3 linked regions of the Daphnia pulex genome follow. The protein of the gene in region 3 binds, or shares a complex with, the protein of the main gene of each other region. Links are inferred from orthologs where the notes say so. Each region holds a gene or a part of one and is shown on either strand. Other genes may lie near its edges. The genes, in order: trafficking protein particle complex subunit 9-like, trafficking protein particle complex subunit 11-like and trafficking protein particle complex subunit 8-like.

The links.
Region 1: trafficking protein particle complex subunit 8-like (region 3) and trafficking protein particle complex subunit 9-like share a complex: the UniProt entries of both Homo sapiens proteins name them as parts of the multisubunit TRAPP (transport protein particle) complex. The link is inferred for Daphnia pulex from reciprocal best matches to the Homo sapiens genes TRAPPC8 and TRAPPC9.
Region 2: trafficking protein particle complex subunit 8-like (region 3) and trafficking protein particle complex subunit 11-like share a complex: the UniProt entries of both Homo sapiens proteins name them as parts of the multisubunit TRAPP (transport protein particle) complex. The link is inferred for Daphnia pulex from reciprocal best matches to the Homo sapiens genes TRAPPC8 and TRAPPC11.

What each region holds. Positions count from the first base shown.
Region 1 is NC_060024.1:7,058,406-7,064,082, reverse strand, and holds the start of trafficking protein particle complex subunit 9-like, read right to left. Parts: upstream 3,412-5,677; 5' UTR 3,369-3,411; exon of another isoform or gene 3,185-3,368; intron 3,125-3,184; 5' UTR 3,020-3,124; coding exon 2,945-3,019; intron 2,888-2,944; coding exon 2,684-2,887; intron 2,642-2,683; exon of another isoform or gene 2,628-2,641; coding exon 2,474-2,627; intron 2,379-2,473; coding exon 2,080-2,378; intron 2,015-2,079; coding exon 1,897-2,014; intron 1,840-1,896; coding exon 1,689-1,839; intron 1,629-1,688; coding exon 1,497-1,628; intron 1,274-1,496; coding exon 1,057-1,273; intron 1,001-1,056; coding exon 926-1,000; intron 858-925; coding exon 656-857; intron 597-655; coding exon 144-596; intron 81-143; coding exon 1-80. UniProt on the Homo sapiens protein: Functions as an activator of NF-kappa-B through increased phosphorylation of the IKK complex. May function in neuronal cells differentiation. May play a role in vesicular transport from endoplasmic reticulum to Golgi.
Region 2 is NC_060025.1:1,286,088-1,291,841, forward strand, and holds the start of trafficking protein particle complex subunit 11-like, read left to right. Parts: upstream 1-2,439; 5' UTR 2,440-2,581; coding exon 2,582-2,782; intron 2,783-2,851; coding exon 2,852-3,021; intron 3,022-3,086; coding exon 3,087-3,275; intron 3,276-3,336; coding exon 3,337-3,741; intron 3,742-3,808; coding exon 3,809-4,136; intron 4,137-4,195; coding exon 4,196-4,274; intron 4,275-4,338; coding exon 4,339-4,393; intron 4,394-4,458; coding exon 4,459-4,872; intron 4,873-4,932; coding exon 4,933-5,110; intron 5,111-5,167; coding exon 5,168-5,754. Other genes in the region: uncharacterized protein LOC124202179, read right to left, coding at 565-656, 720-863, 943-1,190, 1,258-1,451, 1,524-1,775. UniProt on the Homo sapiens protein: Involved in endoplasmic reticulum to Golgi apparatus trafficking at a very early stage.
Region 3 is NC_060026.1:3,046,373-3,051,443, reverse strand, and holds the end of trafficking protein particle complex subunit 8-like, read right to left. Parts: coding exon 5,041-5,071; intron 4,978-5,040; coding exon 4,726-4,977; intron 4,662-4,725; coding exon 4,468-4,661; intron 4,400-4,467; coding exon 4,272-4,399; intron 4,214-4,271; coding exon 4,028-4,213; intron 3,963-4,027; coding exon 3,775-3,962; intron 3,712-3,774; coding exon 3,584-3,711; intron 3,519-3,583; coding exon 3,328-3,518; intron 3,260-3,327; coding exon 3,136-3,259; intron 3,072-3,135; coding exon 2,642-3,071; intron 2,582-2,641; coding exon 2,443-2,581; intron 2,379-2,442; coding exon 2,285-2,378; intron 2,226-2,284; coding exon 2,023-2,225; intron 1,956-2,022; coding exon 1,870-1,955; intron 1,794-1,869; coding exon 1,695-1,793; intron 1,594-1,694; coding exon 1,507-1,593; intron 1,445-1,506; coding exon 1,192-1,444; 3' UTR 1,150-1,191; downstream 1-1,149. Other genes in the region: uncharacterized protein LOC124205264, read left to right, coding at 757-772, 848-1,149. UniProt on the Homo sapiens protein: Plays a role in endoplasmic reticulum to Golgi apparatus trafficking at a very early stage. Maintains together with TBC1D14 the cycling pool of ATG9 required for initiation of autophagy. Involved in collagen secretion.

The sequences.
Region 1 (5,677 bases), on a different chromosome or scaffold from region 3:
CGTAATGCGTAATTCATAAGAAGAAGGATTAATAACTTGTATTAATACTTCGCAATGATCACCTTCTACCCATTGAAAATCTAAAACTCGAAAAAAATTATTGGCAAATTATTTTTTATTTAAAAAATAATAAAATCACAGACCCATTTCAACTAGAGTTTTTCTTGTTGGTTGCTTTCTGAAAGACCCAAACTGAATAGGAGTAAACAAAAAGGGGCCATTGTTGATTTCGTCTTCGAGCATTAGCCTCTGAGCAGCCAATACAGCTCCAGGTGGTTGCAGTTTGAAATGAACAATTTTGGGTAAAAGAGTTAAGGACACCGGTGGAATAATGGTGCCATTTTCTAGAGCAAGTGGCCCAGGATGCAATGGCATTTCTGAGCGTTGTGCTAGCTGATCAAGCTGCTTAGCCATTTCGGCTTGCTCTTGGCTTGACAATATTGGAATAGCACCAACTTGTTGCTGCTGGATCAAAAGCAAGTGAACAAGCAAAGAAGCATGACGAATGGCCAATGGAACATTTCCTAATCGCCTTGCAGTCCCGGTAAGTTCTTGTAAAATTTGAACTTGAAGCGCGTGCCACCCACATGCGTGTTCTGTTAGCATTTAAAAAGGATAATATTCACATGAAGAAAATGTATTAAAATTTGTTAACCATGAGATAGCAATGCAGGATCCAGTGAGAGTTTATATCCGTCAATAGACTCAAGAAGAAGCTGATAACAAAGTGTCCAGTTGGGTTGAATTGTTGTCATTGGGGCAACACAACGCATTGCGGACACGCGGCGGAAAAATGAGCTTTTCCGTTTAAATCCTAATTGACTGTAGAGTTCTGAAAGGGCAGTAAATCTCTGAATCTAGAATGTGAACTGATATTTTTAAAGCAATTCAATCGATAAATTATGGTACATGAAAGTTCTGAAACCTTTTCTTCATCAGATAGGTGTAAGTTGATAAAAACAACATTTTGTAAAAATTCAGCAGCCGAAAGGTATTTCCTCTGCCAAAACAGAAAAGTCAGCTTTTTGAAAAGAACTAGAAAAAAAAAAATCGAACCTGTTCAATAAGTACATGGACAGCTTTTATGGACGCTTCTGTTTCTATAACTCCTGCATTGCGATACTTGGAGTAATGAACAACGGCTTCATGGTACTTTTCAATCACTTCATCCGGTCCAAGGGAATGTTTGAATTTCAACCGATTCTTCAAAAAATGGTGATTAGAATCAATATCAGGAGGAAGAGAACGCACTCCTACTCCGGAAGAATTTGACCTGAAGGAAATCGTATTGATGAATTTTAGCAAACTCAAAGGAAATTAATATGTGTACAAGGTATATCACGCCGAAACGTAAACAAAGGAAAGGTTTTTTGTTTTGTTTTTTATTTTAATATTTTTTTGTGGTTTTTTGCCACCATTTCTTACGTAATACAATTGCTTAGCTTGGGAATTTCCCTTATTATTTAAAATACACTCATATGCGATGTTGTTTATACCTGATTCGACTATTAAATCCTTCCCCCGTTAACGACCCGTTTCTCTGGATGGCGACGGGCCTCCGTAGATGAGGATATAAGAGTATGATCGATGCAGCGCAAAGTCCTTCAAAAGATCCAGCCAGCCAAAGCCTATTGAACATTAAACGAATCATCTACTAACTTGGTAGAAAATTAAATTTCTTTCAGTACCAATCATTCGCAGGTCTAAGGACATCCGCTGCCGCCTGATACTGTTCAAGTGCTTCGGATAACAAACCTGCCTGAAGAGATAAATCTCCTACTTGCTTTCTCCATCGACCAACACAACGTTTTCGATGAGTTCGAGATTCTAAATCCATTCCTGAGAGAGGGATAACACAATATGTCACCTGGGTTATCCTAAAAATGTTTTTAATACCAATTAAATCCTTTCGTTCGAATGGTGCGCACAAAAACGGCTGCTTTTCCTTGTCGATGTTGCTGATCGATACAAGCCTTTTCGATTCCAATACCCAAAAAAGGGAAGAAACAAAATCCTGACACAACAAACTAAATTAGAATGAACTGAAATCAAAAGCTTTAGCACTTCAAGTTATAGTACCTGTAAATCTGCTTCTAGAGTGACACATTTGTCAAGACTAGGATAATAGAGAGTACGAGATGGATGAGATACAACTTTACTGATGTTATCATAGTTTGTAGATGTTGATGTTTCATTAAAACTATCTTGGTGACTGATGTCACAAGTAATTGCCCTTTCTTTATCAGTTAAAGAAGGTATTTCTATCTGTGTGTTGTGATTTTTCATTGGCAAGGTTGAATGCTCAGGATCTTTGGAGAGCTCTAGCTGCTGTTTCTCGTTTGGAGAAGCTTCTGAAACTGACGACACATAAGGTGTACCTTTCAACAGACAGAACAAAATTAAATAGGAAACACTTAACCTTTATAACTTATCTCAAGATAACATAATTTGAAAACCAAATTCTATCACTTACCATCATGTTGTAGCCCCAGAAAAAGGCAGCATGAATCATACAAAGTTCCACTGAATTTTGATCTTAAAGATTCATGAATTTTGCTCAGTTCACTCACTTCCTGTGTGTTTGAGCATTCACCAACACAAATAAGGCCAAGAACTCTACGATGGGTCTAAATTCCAAGGTCTATAAAAATTGTGAAAATTTATGTTCCAAAATATAACTCACCTGGAAATCTCCCCATTCGTTGTTTTCAATAGGATAGGATCTTACATAGCGGGCTGAAATATTTCTCACACTTCCTGAGCTATCTTTAATCCTAAAACTGTTTTGCCTTGATATTCGTTCATAGAGTCTAGAAAAGTTTCTGGTGTTGAGCTTTGACCCAAGATGCCTCACCATAATTAATAAGGAAGCATGATCATGGGCTGTCTGGAATTAAAATTGGAAATGAGATGTATTTTCATATTTTTTAACATAATTGTTTACTTGTCTATAATCTGGGTGAGACATATTTGACTCAGGAGCTGGAGATGACAAAATTGCACTAACAGCGGATCGCATGAGGATATAAGTTGTTATAGTTTTCTTCCTTGTTTGCGTTGAACTGAACAACACAGAAATGATAACGTTATTATCAATCACTTCCAGAATTCTTCTTCTTAAAACCTGTTATGAAACAAATATGAAACCGTAATGAATATGTTAAATAATAATGAAGATTTTTACTTCAATTTTCAAGTGTGTCAATACTCAAACTGTGTCATTAAAATTAATTCAAAAATTAATTCTGCTCCTTTCCCATGACACCATCAAGCATCGACACCAGTAAATCTAACCTGAAATGACTAGTTACTGTTCTTGTCTAGAAAATTGAAAACAATCGTGAAGTCGAAACAGCAAAACCACATACAGTTTATAACCAGGCCATGGACTACTCTATTTAAGAGGACGGGTAGGGCTGTGGCCCGGGACGTTTTTAGCGGGTTTTTTTTTAATGGGTTTTTTAGACGGGTTTTTCTTCTTCCGCGGGTCGTAGCGGGTTGGGCCAACTGAGTGACCGGGTTTGGCCCGGGCCAACCCATGGGTCAAAAAATTTATACCGGTCGGGTAACGGCCCGGGTAAAAAATCGGGTCAAACACACTTTTTTTTTACAAACTTAAAAAAAATCCCTAAATTTCTTAATTATCTTCTTCTTCCAACAGTGACACGTCAATTCTGTCTTCTGAACACCCCTGAACGCCCTTTTCTACCACTTATCTTACTTTTCATGCTACGAAATTATCGTAGAGCATTTGGCGGCAATATTTTGAGGCCGCAGGCATAGAGAATAACGAGCTTCTCTATTTGACTACTAGATGGCGCCACCGCTCGGGTTGGCCCGCGGGCCCGGGGGTTCAACCCGTCGCCCGCCCCGTTAAAAAAAATGCCTCGGTGGGTCGAGTCGGGTTGGGTTTTTTTTCGTTCAGCCCGGGCGGTGGCCCGGGTTTTCATCGCCCGGGCCACAGCCCTAAGGACGGGACTCTTTCCCTCGCCGTGTTAAAGCCTGTCGGGTTGGGTTAATTTCACTAAGGAAGCCCAAAACCGCCACTTTTTCAATATAATAATGATTTTCAAAATATCATTATATAAAACAGAAAAGAATATATAAAAAACAAATTCAATATAAAACTGAAAAAAGTATTATATAAAAACCAAGAAGAGTGTAATATAAAAAACAAAAAGTTGATATAAAAAGCAAAAAAAAGTCAATATAAAACCCCCAAAAAGTTCAATATATAATCCCAAAAAAGTTCAATATAAAAACGGCAGCCACCTAGCGGTCAAAATAATTACTTCATGCCACATCTCCACCCCCTTTATAGCCAGTTTGAATCCAGTAGTACAAACGGGCATTTAATCACAAAATAAAAAAACGAGCAAGCGCTTAAATAACGCTACCTAATGCGCGTCGCTCTAAATTTTTATTTTTTTAAATGTCAAGCGAAGTAAAACGACTGCGGCTGACTGCGGCGACTGGTCAGACGAGTAACGTGAGCCCGTCCGATTTTTTAAAAGCGCTTATCGCTGGTCCGTTTGCTATTTTAGCGCTGTCGCCCGTTCGCTGTTTTCGGCGGCTCATTATAAGCTAATAAGCCATTCAAATGATTTGCAATAAGCGCGCGTTGCGCTAGCAATTGGTTTGCGATAAACTTGCGCGCGATGCGCTAAATATATATTTAGCGCAATTTATTTCATTGTATTATTTACGAAACGCCCAAGCGCTTCGTTAATAAAAGTAATAAATGCGACAGGTAAAACGATTGCGGCGACTGGACAAGTTGCGCACACCCGTTGATAATTTTAGCGCTTGTCTCGAGTCCGTTTATAGCTTACGAAACACGCAAGCGATAAAATAAATGTTTAACGCTTATTGCGCGATATGTGCTCAATTTGAGCGTATTATTTAATCCTATATTTAAAAAAGCGAAAGCGCTTAAATAACGCTACTTAATGCGAATGGCTCTAAATTATTTGTTTGTATTGAATGCAAAGGGAAACCACTGCGCTGACTGGTTAGACGAGTAATGCGAGCCCGTCCGCTATTTCCGCTGCTCCTTCCGCTGTTTTCGGCGGATCATTGCGTGAAAAATAATTAATTGAAATGTTTCGCGCTAGATCTAGCGCTATCGAAGCGATCGTGGGACTAGCTATGTGTTTGCGATAAACTTGCGCGTGATTCGCTATATTTAGGGCAATTTATTTCATTGCATTATTTAGGAAACGCGCAAGCGTTTCGTTAATTTTAATAAAATGTTGCGAAAGGGTAAACGATTACCGCAAATGGACGAGACGGGACGAGAAGCGTGCGCCCGTACATCATATTAGCGTTTGTCGCGAGTCCGTTCGCTACCTTATTAGCGCTAATCGTCGTCCGTCCAAAGTTTTACACGGCTCGCTGGGCCAAACATTTTAAATAGTTCGCGCTAGATGTAGCGCTTTCTTTCTTAAGCGCCCATTGCGCTAATAATTAACTAAAGATTTACTTGCAGGCAATGCGTCAAATTAAGCGCATTTAAATTCATTAAATAATTTACAAACGCAAATAACTAGCAAAAATAAATATTTAGCGCGAAAAATAATGAAGTCAATATATTTTGCGCTAGATCTATCGCTAAATATTTATTTTAGCAAATTATATGCGCGCTTCGTAATTTATGTGATGAACTTAATCCGACTAT
Region 2 (5,754 bases), on a different chromosome or scaffold from region 3:
CAGAAATTATGGTTAGGCTTCATTCACGTAATACACGATGATGGCGAACGTATTCACATATTACACAAAAATGGCCGCCGAAAGTATTATTTGAAAGTCAACGTCTTATCACTAGATGGCGCTGATTCATTTTTCCACTTCACAACTTCTGACAAGCTCCGCCCTAAAATGTCTGAAAATCGGGGATACGTTTACCCTGAAACCGGGATAGGGAAGCCAACACAGCCGAGAACCGACCAGGTATCTATGGCTCTGCTAATCTTACTTTCGGTAAAGACTGATAGAAATGAAGGCCATGTATCTTACTACCATTATGCGGAAGTTATGGTTCATGAAAATGCCGTACATGGCGCCACATAGCTGTAATGAAAAGCATTCAAACTTCAAAATGTTGAGAAATAAAATTTTAATACTGTATTGTGTGATAAAATGCGCTCATCATATACATAAAATTTGCAAATAAACAATCAAGAATCTAAAATCATATCAATTTCTTTTCGACACCATAAATTTCGTTCAGTGTTTAAAATAAAACGTGAGTAGTCTCTCAAAGGACTAGATTATTCATGCTGTTTTTGCAGGAAGTTTGCTGGAGATTTGGCTGGTAAAATTGCTGCTAAATGTCGCTTCCACTCTACCGCTTTCCAATGTGAAATCTAATACAGAATAAAATATTAGCCTTCCCTTCAAATTTGCAAAAACATGATTCCTTAATTTACTTTTTTGATTGCCAGCAGTTAGCTCAGCAGCAGTGGTAGCCAACAAAGTGCTATTATCACAGCTGTCAAGCAAATAGTCGCATATCGTCGTCTCGTTCAATACCGGTAACTTACTTTTCGCGATCCACAACGGCTTCGACACGACTGGAAAAACAATTGAAATAAAAGCGATTGTCTTTTTGGTAACGAAGATCAAAAAGTAAAAAAACAAATAAACCCTTACATTCGATGTACATTGCGATTCCAATAGCGACTAGTCCGACTACTGCGAGGCAGATGAAGAAAATGCCAATCATGGAACACGCCGACATTCTTTTCTTGGACCCATGCACCCCAGCTGATGGTCGTCCAGATTTGACTGGATGCAATTCTAAAGGACTTTCACTCATGTCGACTCGGTGGTGATCACACTTTTCTCTTGTTGGATCGACACTACCAGTAATAGCCCGTGTTACGCAAATCAGACCCGATCTATCAGTTCAAGAAATTTCAATTAAAACACTAAAAATACCATAAAGTTATGGAAAGAAAAATTTACTTGAGATCGAAGCAACCAGTGGTTTGATGGCTAACATCGGAATTCCAACTCGAATCATTATCGCCAATAGATGATCTAGCGGTTGGATGATTTGGGCCGCCAATATCGACGGAAGTGAAGCTGCTCTCCAATCCTGACGTGGCCAAGCATGGCGGCATCGCACCACCAGACACCACAATGACTTTTTCTCTCGACTGTCGATTCAATTTTCAATCAATTAGTTTAAGCAATACAACAAAACAAATTGCTGCACAAGTAAACTCAACTGGAAAGTAAACTGGGACGGAAGGTGAAATCGGCGTCGACGGTTGTTGGCAAAGAGAGAGGGGCGTGACATAAGCGTCGACATCGGGTTTGATTATGCCGAAACTGGTACACAGACTCAATGGCGAATGACAGTTGTTGTTGTCTTGGATCTTTAGTGTATACGATGGTGGAGACTGAAATTCCAAACGAGTCTGAATTCGGTCGACATCTTCCACGACGATTGATGGTGTCGATTGCAAATGTCTAGCCATTTTCCTTGTTAACCTAACACCTCGTGGAATAATTTAATAACATTGCAAATAAAGTAATGAGAAGAATTGATGTACCTTAAATTAAATGCCAAAAGAACCACCGATAAAACTAGTACCAATTGGAATTAATAAAGGTGACACGTGACGACGCTCTTACAGCGCGGCGTTTTTCGACTGCAATCTGTAACAAGGGGCGAGTAATAAACTAAGATTATTTTCTTTATGGCAAATCAAGGGATGGGTTCAATAAAAATTAAATTTGTCAGACAAAATTTGGCAACTCTGAATCCGTTCTTAATTGCGCATGGGGCATGGGGTCCGAAGTTCTCTTTTGTTATAGCCTTATCGGTACGATGAGTAACAATTTTGTTTTGAATAATTTGTTAATTACTACGAAAGCCTAATGATAAAAGAGTTCGTGGAATTTTAAAGGGTGTTCCATGACTCATTCCCATGTCCCATCAACATGCTGTTTTGTTTGTTTTCAAATGGTTTTCCAACCCTATTGAATTAATTAAGCTTAATTAATTAGGAAGGCATATTTCCGCGAATTACTTCCACGTTGTCTTAACATTGTTCTGGGTGCAGGGTATGTACAAAACAAACTAAGAAAATATCAAAGAAAGTTTACCTTAAATTTTGAAAATTGGCAAACTGGCAATACAGCATTATTTTTTGTTTTTCTATGTTTGATATTTCGTCTGCTACCGGGGTAGAGTTTTAGGGTGGAAATTGTTCGTAGTTTTGTTTTGGCTTCTCATGGTTTTTACACATTGTTCATCATCGCCCTTGAAGTTAGAAAAATAATGAGCTCGGATCTCGAATTACCCGAAGAGTTGGTGGATCGACCGTTAGCGTTGGTCGGTCTGACGGGACTGAATGTTGAAACGAATCAGACTCACCTGCTGATATGGAACTCTTTCACGTCATCTAATCGAAGCGAGAGACCTCCCCTCCATTTCGTTCTTTTTGGAGTTAATCATGCATTCCCCCTGGCGAAACCTGATGTAATTTATCTTTTAGGTTGAGAGATCAAAGTTTTTTTTAAATGTTTGTTTTTCACTCATTTGTTTTAGAGAACGTCATATGAATGGTACATTCCTAAAGGCATCCTCAAAAGAAAATGGATGTCCAAACACCTGAAACAGATTCCAGGTGTCTTGGTTCTCTTCTATGATTTGGAGTGGGACGATCCTGCATGGAAAGCTAAACATGCAGAATGTGCACATCTAATCCAAACAACTCGGTAAATCATTCAGTCATAAACTTGAACTCAAATATTTTGTTATTAACTATAATTTTTCTATCCAGTATGAAGCTTATGGGAAGGGGTAGTAAGCTCTGCCTAGTCCTCTTACAAAATAGCCCTCCATTACCTTCCAGTGAAGATATTTTGGCAGCAGATAGAGCTGCAGCTTTGTGCCAAGTGTGTGAATTACCACCTAAATCGCTCTTTGTCCTTCCTTGCCGTAGCGATCATCTACAGGGATACACCTTGAGGTATCACGTTATTTTAAATGTAGTCGTGAGTTATATAATGTTACACTATACTACGAAACAGGTTGGAGAGCGCATTTTACGAACTTTGTCAAAGTAGTTATCATTTGTCATCGAGGGCCGTTCGCTCCCACCGCGACCAATTGAACCGTACAAATCACGGCTACTTGTTTGTGAGACATCAGTTTAAAATCGGATTTTACCACGAGCTTAAGCAGGACGTTGCCATGGCGCACAAGCATTACAGCCAATCGTATGCCCATTTGCTAGAGCTTCGCATCACAGATGCCAATGTCACTGAAGTGAAGATTGTCGCTGGATACATCGGCTACAAGGTCTGGCGTCTCTCGTTCTTGCTCAATCTGCCTCGCGAAGCTATCGCCCATTTCAGGAGTCACATGGACTTTTTTCGGCTGCGGATTGGTAACCCTTTGAGCAAATTCGAACATCACGCCTGGCTGGCTGCCCAGTAAAATTAAAATAAAATTTATTTCAAAAATTATTTTTCATTAAATTTTACGAATTCTTTTGTTTAGATTTTCGACGTTTGGCAGTTTGTTTGACGATGCGATTGAGTTAGGACTTCCGGCAATCCAGACTCAACATCCTGGCTTCTTCTACCAACAGTCTGCGCAGCAATCCATCCTAAGGAAGAAGGCTTGCTACCAAGATTACGATGCTCTCGACGAAACTGTCATTAATAACTTGACTCCATTATCGTTCGGCGAATCGTCACAATTGGAATTCTTCGGTCAAAGACCCTGGCGACCTAGTCGGTTGAGTCTTGAACCAGCTGATATGAAAGCTGAGAACGACGGGATTGCTGCAATGTTAATCCGCGAAAGACATCAAGTTGATCTCACGGTACTGCCTTTTATTAAAACATTTCCTATTTTGATAAGCGATTTTAACTTGGTGTGTAGGGTATGATCGTTGCTGCTCTTACAAATGCAGTAAATCAATTTAAAAATCACCGATCTCCTCGGATGAAGCAGTATTTATGTAATTTATCACTTACACTTTTAAAAGTCAGTATCAGAGCAAACTAAAATTTTTCTTCTCCTAGTGGTACAAATGGCGGAAGAATATTGCCGATCGGAAAACTTTGCGGAAGCCCTTACGTAATAAAAATTGACTTCAACTTTTATTTTAATTTATTATTAATGGAAATTAACGCTTTGTATAGGTTGCTCGAACCTTTGCTCTGGGATTACCGCAAAGATTTCTGGTGGATGCCACTGACATCTTTACTCCAGTTGGGTTTGCGTTGTGCTTTTCTTTCCGGTCGGCCTGCCGAATACTTCACATATGCCGTAGAATTGTGTTCCCGGGTGACGATGAAAAGCCAAGATGAAAAGGGCCAATTATTCGATAATCTCATCGGAATCCTACAAAAGAGGATACCACCGCCGCCTCCCGACTCTACCGCGGTTTCGTTGGCTACTCAACTATGGGCTGATCAATTTGCAAGTTTGGCCAGCGGCGCCTGCGTAACCACGATCGTTACCAACACGATTTCGTCATTCGTTGAAGTCAAGGCCACTTTTACTCAAAAGCAATTTGCTGCCGAAGATGTTGTCGAACTCGAAGTTCACGTTAGGTAAAGAGTTGGAATTACTCTTGAAATACAAATTTAATAATAACTTTAATTTCATAATAGTTATACGGGTCCAAAGGCGATACAGTTCACCAGTTTACACGTGGCTCTCAACAATACTGCCTATTTGCCCTTTTGTCAAGTGAAGGATCCGGAAGAGTTGGAATTTGAACCCAATCAGATCCGACACTACGAGTTTGAATTTGCTGCGCAATCTCAAGACATTGGTGCGGAACTTCAAGTAGGTTTAACTTTGATTGGCAATTGAAGAAGAGAAAGTAATTTCATCCATCCATAGATTGTTTCAGTCACGTTGGAGATGGGGCATGACCTTGTGGCTTATTTGCGATGCGAAGGATCTTCCAGTGAAGAATTTGGGTCATCACGTTCTGAATTTCCTTCGGCTACAGAGAAAGGTTTGTCCGGTTTGTTTGTATTGAACACGGCCGAAATTCTGCCCCGGACTGCAAACGTTGAGCTTTTGATCCGACATGACGCCCCGGCCCTTCGTGGTGAATGTTATCCGCTTCACCTTGAATTGGTCAATCGGGAAAAAGAAGATATTAGCAACGTCACGGTGACTGTGACGACTAGCAGCACTGACGGCCGAGTTCACGACCAGCCTAAAATCGACGGCAATTTGTCGGTTCAGTTGAAGAGCGAAGAAATCGCAACCGGGCAAACATGCCAATGGAACGTGTTTACTCAAATGGAGCAGCCTGGTAAACATTACGTCACGTTTCAGGTCAATTACGAAATAACCAGCGAGGTGTGCAATAGTAAATGCACTTACAAGAGTCAGTACGTCAAAACGCTCGAGCTGGAAACGGTCCAACCCGTCGAGTGTGAGGCTCAGTTTCAGACGATCCAGTTCCAGCCATTGAG
Region 3 (5,071 bases):
GTGTATACTTGTATACATATATAAACTGAATTTTTCTCTTCCGATATACGGTCCATTACTAAACCATATACTGTACGAGTTCTCTTTTTTCGTCTCACTTCTAAACTCGCTTCCCGATCTACTAGACGCTCTGTTTATACAAATGACGTCCATCGTAAAGATCGTAAGTTTGTAACCCACAAAATCCCGTTGTCTTTGCTAGTTGGTCTCACGCTCCGAAATTGTGTCGGTAGTTCGTACGATTAAAGCTTTAAACTCTATTGATATACTCTAAAAACCCTTTGACTATTTCAATAAAATTTCTTGTTTAACAAATCAAATTAATTTTATCCTCAATGACATTGAGATTCAAGTCAATATTAACATGAGTCAATGTTGACTATGTGAAGTGTGATTACGTCATTGCCATAACCGTCATCTTCTCCTCTATTATAACGTAATTAAATTACGTTAAATTACGGTAATTTCAATTTTGAATATAATAAAAAGTATTAATAAATGTTGTAATGAAATTAGTAGTGAAGACCTGAGTGGAAAACGCCAACTAATTGGACGATAGGTGGGGCAGCTTCGTTTGGGATAGAATCTTTATCGGGAGATTGTATTTGTATTCCTCCCGCGACCACAAGGTGTGCTGCTTCCGCCTTCCAGCTGTCAACTAATTCATTCTGTCGTCTGCTGTTGCAACTGTTTGCAGTTATTTGAGACTTCCGAGTTTTTTTCCAAGATTTTCTTGTTTATTCCATCAAGTTAAAGATGAACCAAAACAGCTGTAAGCCAATTAATTTTTTTCCCCACTTGATGCATTGATGCATCACTTAAAAATTTCCATTGAAAAATTTAACAGTAATTGGAGCGAATTTAAGAAGAACACTGATGTTGTCCCCTGGTCAACAAGAAATCCCTCCCAAAGTTACACAAGGAGCAAACCGAACTGAAATGGAACTAGGTGTGAGTGAAAAGGAGAAAACCGATCAAGCTTTCATGAAAGTGTCATTTGAAAGGTACATCTCCCAAATCCTTTCCTCAACAGAGCTGGAAGCTCACGAAGAAAGATTGAAGAAGATAAATGAAGAAGCTCGTAATCTTTCCAAAGATGAATGGATGTATCCTTCAATTGAGAAGCTTCTTGGAAATTGGAGTCAATGATTAAAATCTGAACAACTTTATTTTTTCACCTACATAATACAATTAAACTTCCTTGTGATCAACAATCAATGTATACTCAATTTTTGGACTTGGTACTCTAACATTTTCACCCAACATTCTTGCATCGATTTGTAACCCTTGAACAAGACTGTAAGCACCTGGCCTTGAAACTGCTATAGTCAAGTGAACTGCTTCAGGTGTATCTTTCAAACAAACATCTCCTTGAACACGACCTATCCAAAGTAGGGGAGAAGCAGCTTCAGGCATGTACAACTGAGAAGCACGTGGGGGTTTCCTGGGGAAAAAATCACTTGGTTGGGGTGAATAAAAATTTGTTAATGTCATTATAAATTTTACCCTGTATTGAAGTTGGCTGAATAATGAACATCGACTTGTTGCTGACTGCAATTGTGAAGATACAAAGTTACTGGTATAACACACAACCTATTAGAAAAATATGCAATGATAATGAAGTGATGAAATTCAAAAAATAATTGAAACACTTGTTTTTAAAGAACTAGGCCTACTATGTAGACCCAACTTACTTCTGTTGGTCAAAATCATGAAACACTTTTGTTGAATACTCCATGGAGTAGGAAACCAACTGCTGATGTGATTTCAAACTGGTTTCTGGCAAACTTGAGCTAAAAAGAAAAAAGACAGTTATAAGGAAACAGTTACTCAGCAGCATAAATTTAAAGTTAATTGAACAGTTCTAACCTTGCTATATCTTGGGAATTCCAACCAAAGTAATGTTGCCCTTCTATGAGTAAAGTACCAAATCCATCTTCAGAAGCTTGCGTAGCCTAGTCAAGAAGAAAACAAATTAGATCGTTGATTTAACTCAAAATGTTGTACAGTATAATATTTTACCGTCCAGCACACAACCAGAGTTGTGTCGGGTGTAGTTTTCTGAAATTCTTTAACGAATGATCGGTATGGGTCGAGTTGGAAATCGACAGCTCGTCCATGGCTTGGTAATTTTAGCACAACACTCTCGTTGTATTCTCTCTTTTCAGTTCCTCGGATGGCCAATAGCACCCCAATGAGGCTTTCTTGTGGATGAAGTACTCCGTCTAAACAAGACACAAAACACGTTGTTATTTGCTTTAAACAAGTTCAGTAATTATAGCACCTGGAATTGTTGACTGATCAGAACGCAAATGCCATCGATTGCTAAGAAGAGCCACCTGCGAAACTTCAATACCACTTAGTGATGTGTCATCCGCCTGAAATATATCCCAATATTATTTTCTGAAGTATCAATTGTTTCGTGAAATTTAATTGAATTACGTCTCTGAGGTTCCGAACTTGGAGTTGAACGGCCAATGTTTCAGTGCGATCCTCCCCACTCGGAACTCTTTGAACCCAGGCACCGAGGCTCAATGATGAAGAGACAAAGATTTTCGAACAGTGGCGAAGTAGACGATATCTTTACAAACAAATTGTAAGTCAATTATTTCTCATCAATCCAATTTTAATTTCCAATTACCTGGCTTTTATGGCGGGATTAGTAGAGAAAAACATGAGATCCAATGATGTTAACCCAACGTTTTCGGTGCCTTTCAACCACATTTTAATTGATTTTTGAGTGGGATCCCAACGGTAGAGTGCAATTTGATCATTTCGAACATTTTTGCTCTCAATGCGGGGAAGGTCGAAAGCGAGGTGTAAGGGATCGTTGGAAGCGATAATTATATTGGCAACGGGTACACTAGGGCAAATGTTGGAGAGTTCGACCACCACTGGGCGAATTTCTCCGCTAAATAGAAATTCTGGTAAGGAGTGGAACAGCACTTGCAATTTAGGCATGCGTGGCCCGACTTGGATCGAGAGTCTTTTGTCAGAAGCATATACTTTGCCATGACGTTCCTGTTGGGTCGCATTTAACCTCGGGCCCTGCAAGCTAAACATTACTCGCCCTAAAGCAAAATTTCAGTTTAAATTTGACGAAAATTAACCAACATAAAACACTAGTAAACTTACCTGACACTGACGACACTAATCCAACTACTGCTGCCGAAGGCTCTACATTGACTGGGCGAAGGTCAAAAGCGACTCCTTCAATGGTCAGCATTCCCTCTGCTTTGGGTTTCACGTTCAAAACAACCTAATTTTTACCGCAAAACTTAATATTAGCATTGCTGCAATTGAGCTGCAAACAGAAACAAATTAAACCTTATGTGAAGAAGAAGGATTCAGTACAATCCTTGGTAAAATGTAAGTGGTAACCAATGGATTGTTGTTTGTCATGAGTAGATTTGATAGGTTGCCGTCCGCTCCAGAGAAGTTCCACACTAGACGAATGTCACATAATAGGACAGGAATGCGCAAGGGGTTGGTCAAAGGTAATTCTAAACTAATGAGGTCTAAAAAAACCATGAAATATAAATTAGAATTTATCTTCTAAAACCGAAAAATTAATTTCTTTTACCATCACAATACGTTTGTGGATGAGCCGTATTGTTGGTCGTATTAGAAAATAGAAGATTGGTAGGCCGGAACATGGCATGAGTTGTGCCAAAGGCCGACTGCACCAGTTTCTCTTCCATATTGGCCCACCTATACAACACAACCATTCCATTATTGATGATTATTTTAAAAATAGTTAGGTGACAAACGTACTTTGCGTGATGAACTTCGTCGTCGTTGAAGGTGACATGAGAGGCCTCAGACACGGGCGGACAAATGTTTTCCGTGGGATCTTTCGTGTCAACTAATACTCTGATCTGGTTGCTATCGATCACAGGCAGGGGTAACACTGGAAGTGAAGTTGACGTTTTGATTTCGTTTTCTCGGTGTTTATTTAACAACTGTTTTGGGTTAAAAAAATTTATGAAATATCATATTGCAAAAAAATTAATTAAAAACCAGTTACCTGGTGAACGTGAATGAATTCATTTAAATAGGCGGTTTGCTGAGCGGCAGTCTGCAAAGAATCTGGCTTTAAAAGAGCACCCAACGCATGACAAGCTGCTTCAATCTGTTGTCGATTTAAGCATTGTCGCCCTACTGTGTAGTGTATGTGATCTTCAGCTAAGCTCCAACCATGCCCTTTATACACCTGGAACAAATTTGACTATGAGGAAAATCTGGGAAGATAAGCGGCTTAAAGGACATACTTGCAAGGCGAGTTGATAAGCTCGAGAAGCGTGGCGCTTTTGCCCCGACTTGCCAAACCGATGACCAGCCAGAATCATGTGGAAGGCGTATTTGCGGATGAGGGGCACCATGTTCGGCTTGGCGGCATCTAAAAATTAAGACCAAAATTGGTTTATTTATTCTTTTAAAGTTTCAATCTTCCGACATTTAAATTACCGCCAGATGACGAATTTGGTTTGACGGCAGATCGAAGAAAACAAAGGGCAGCTTGTTCTAGAAGGACGGCGCTTCGCAAATCGGCGTCTTCACTGGTAAGTCGAATTAGTTGTAGAGCGGCGTCACTGTATTGATTCGTCGCTTTAAGGCACTCGGATGCCAACACGGCACAGCGCGTGGCCCAATACGGCATCCTGTAAATGGGAAACGTGCACTAAAGTTTGGCTGAACGGCATGACTCGTATGATTAAAACGGACTTGCAAGTTTGCAGATACGTGGTCAACGCTTTGTCGAAGTAGTGGAACGGGATGGTACGATTATGACCATTCTGCAGGAAGACGGAGAGTGAAGCCATCTCCATGGCTCCAGCATAGTGCAGCCAAGCTTGATCAGCTTCAAAGTCCTTTTTGGCAGAATGATAGGAATGATAGGCCAATTCATAGTGACCTAGAAGAAATGCTAAATCGCCTAAGCGTCGAAACTGTAGCTGGACAGACTCGGGATGATAGCTGTCGAAAACTCAGTAAAAATTAAAGTCCACTCTAAAAATTAAGTTGAATTAATATGCTTACCTCACGGCAACAGTCTGAGTTGTTTGGAGAC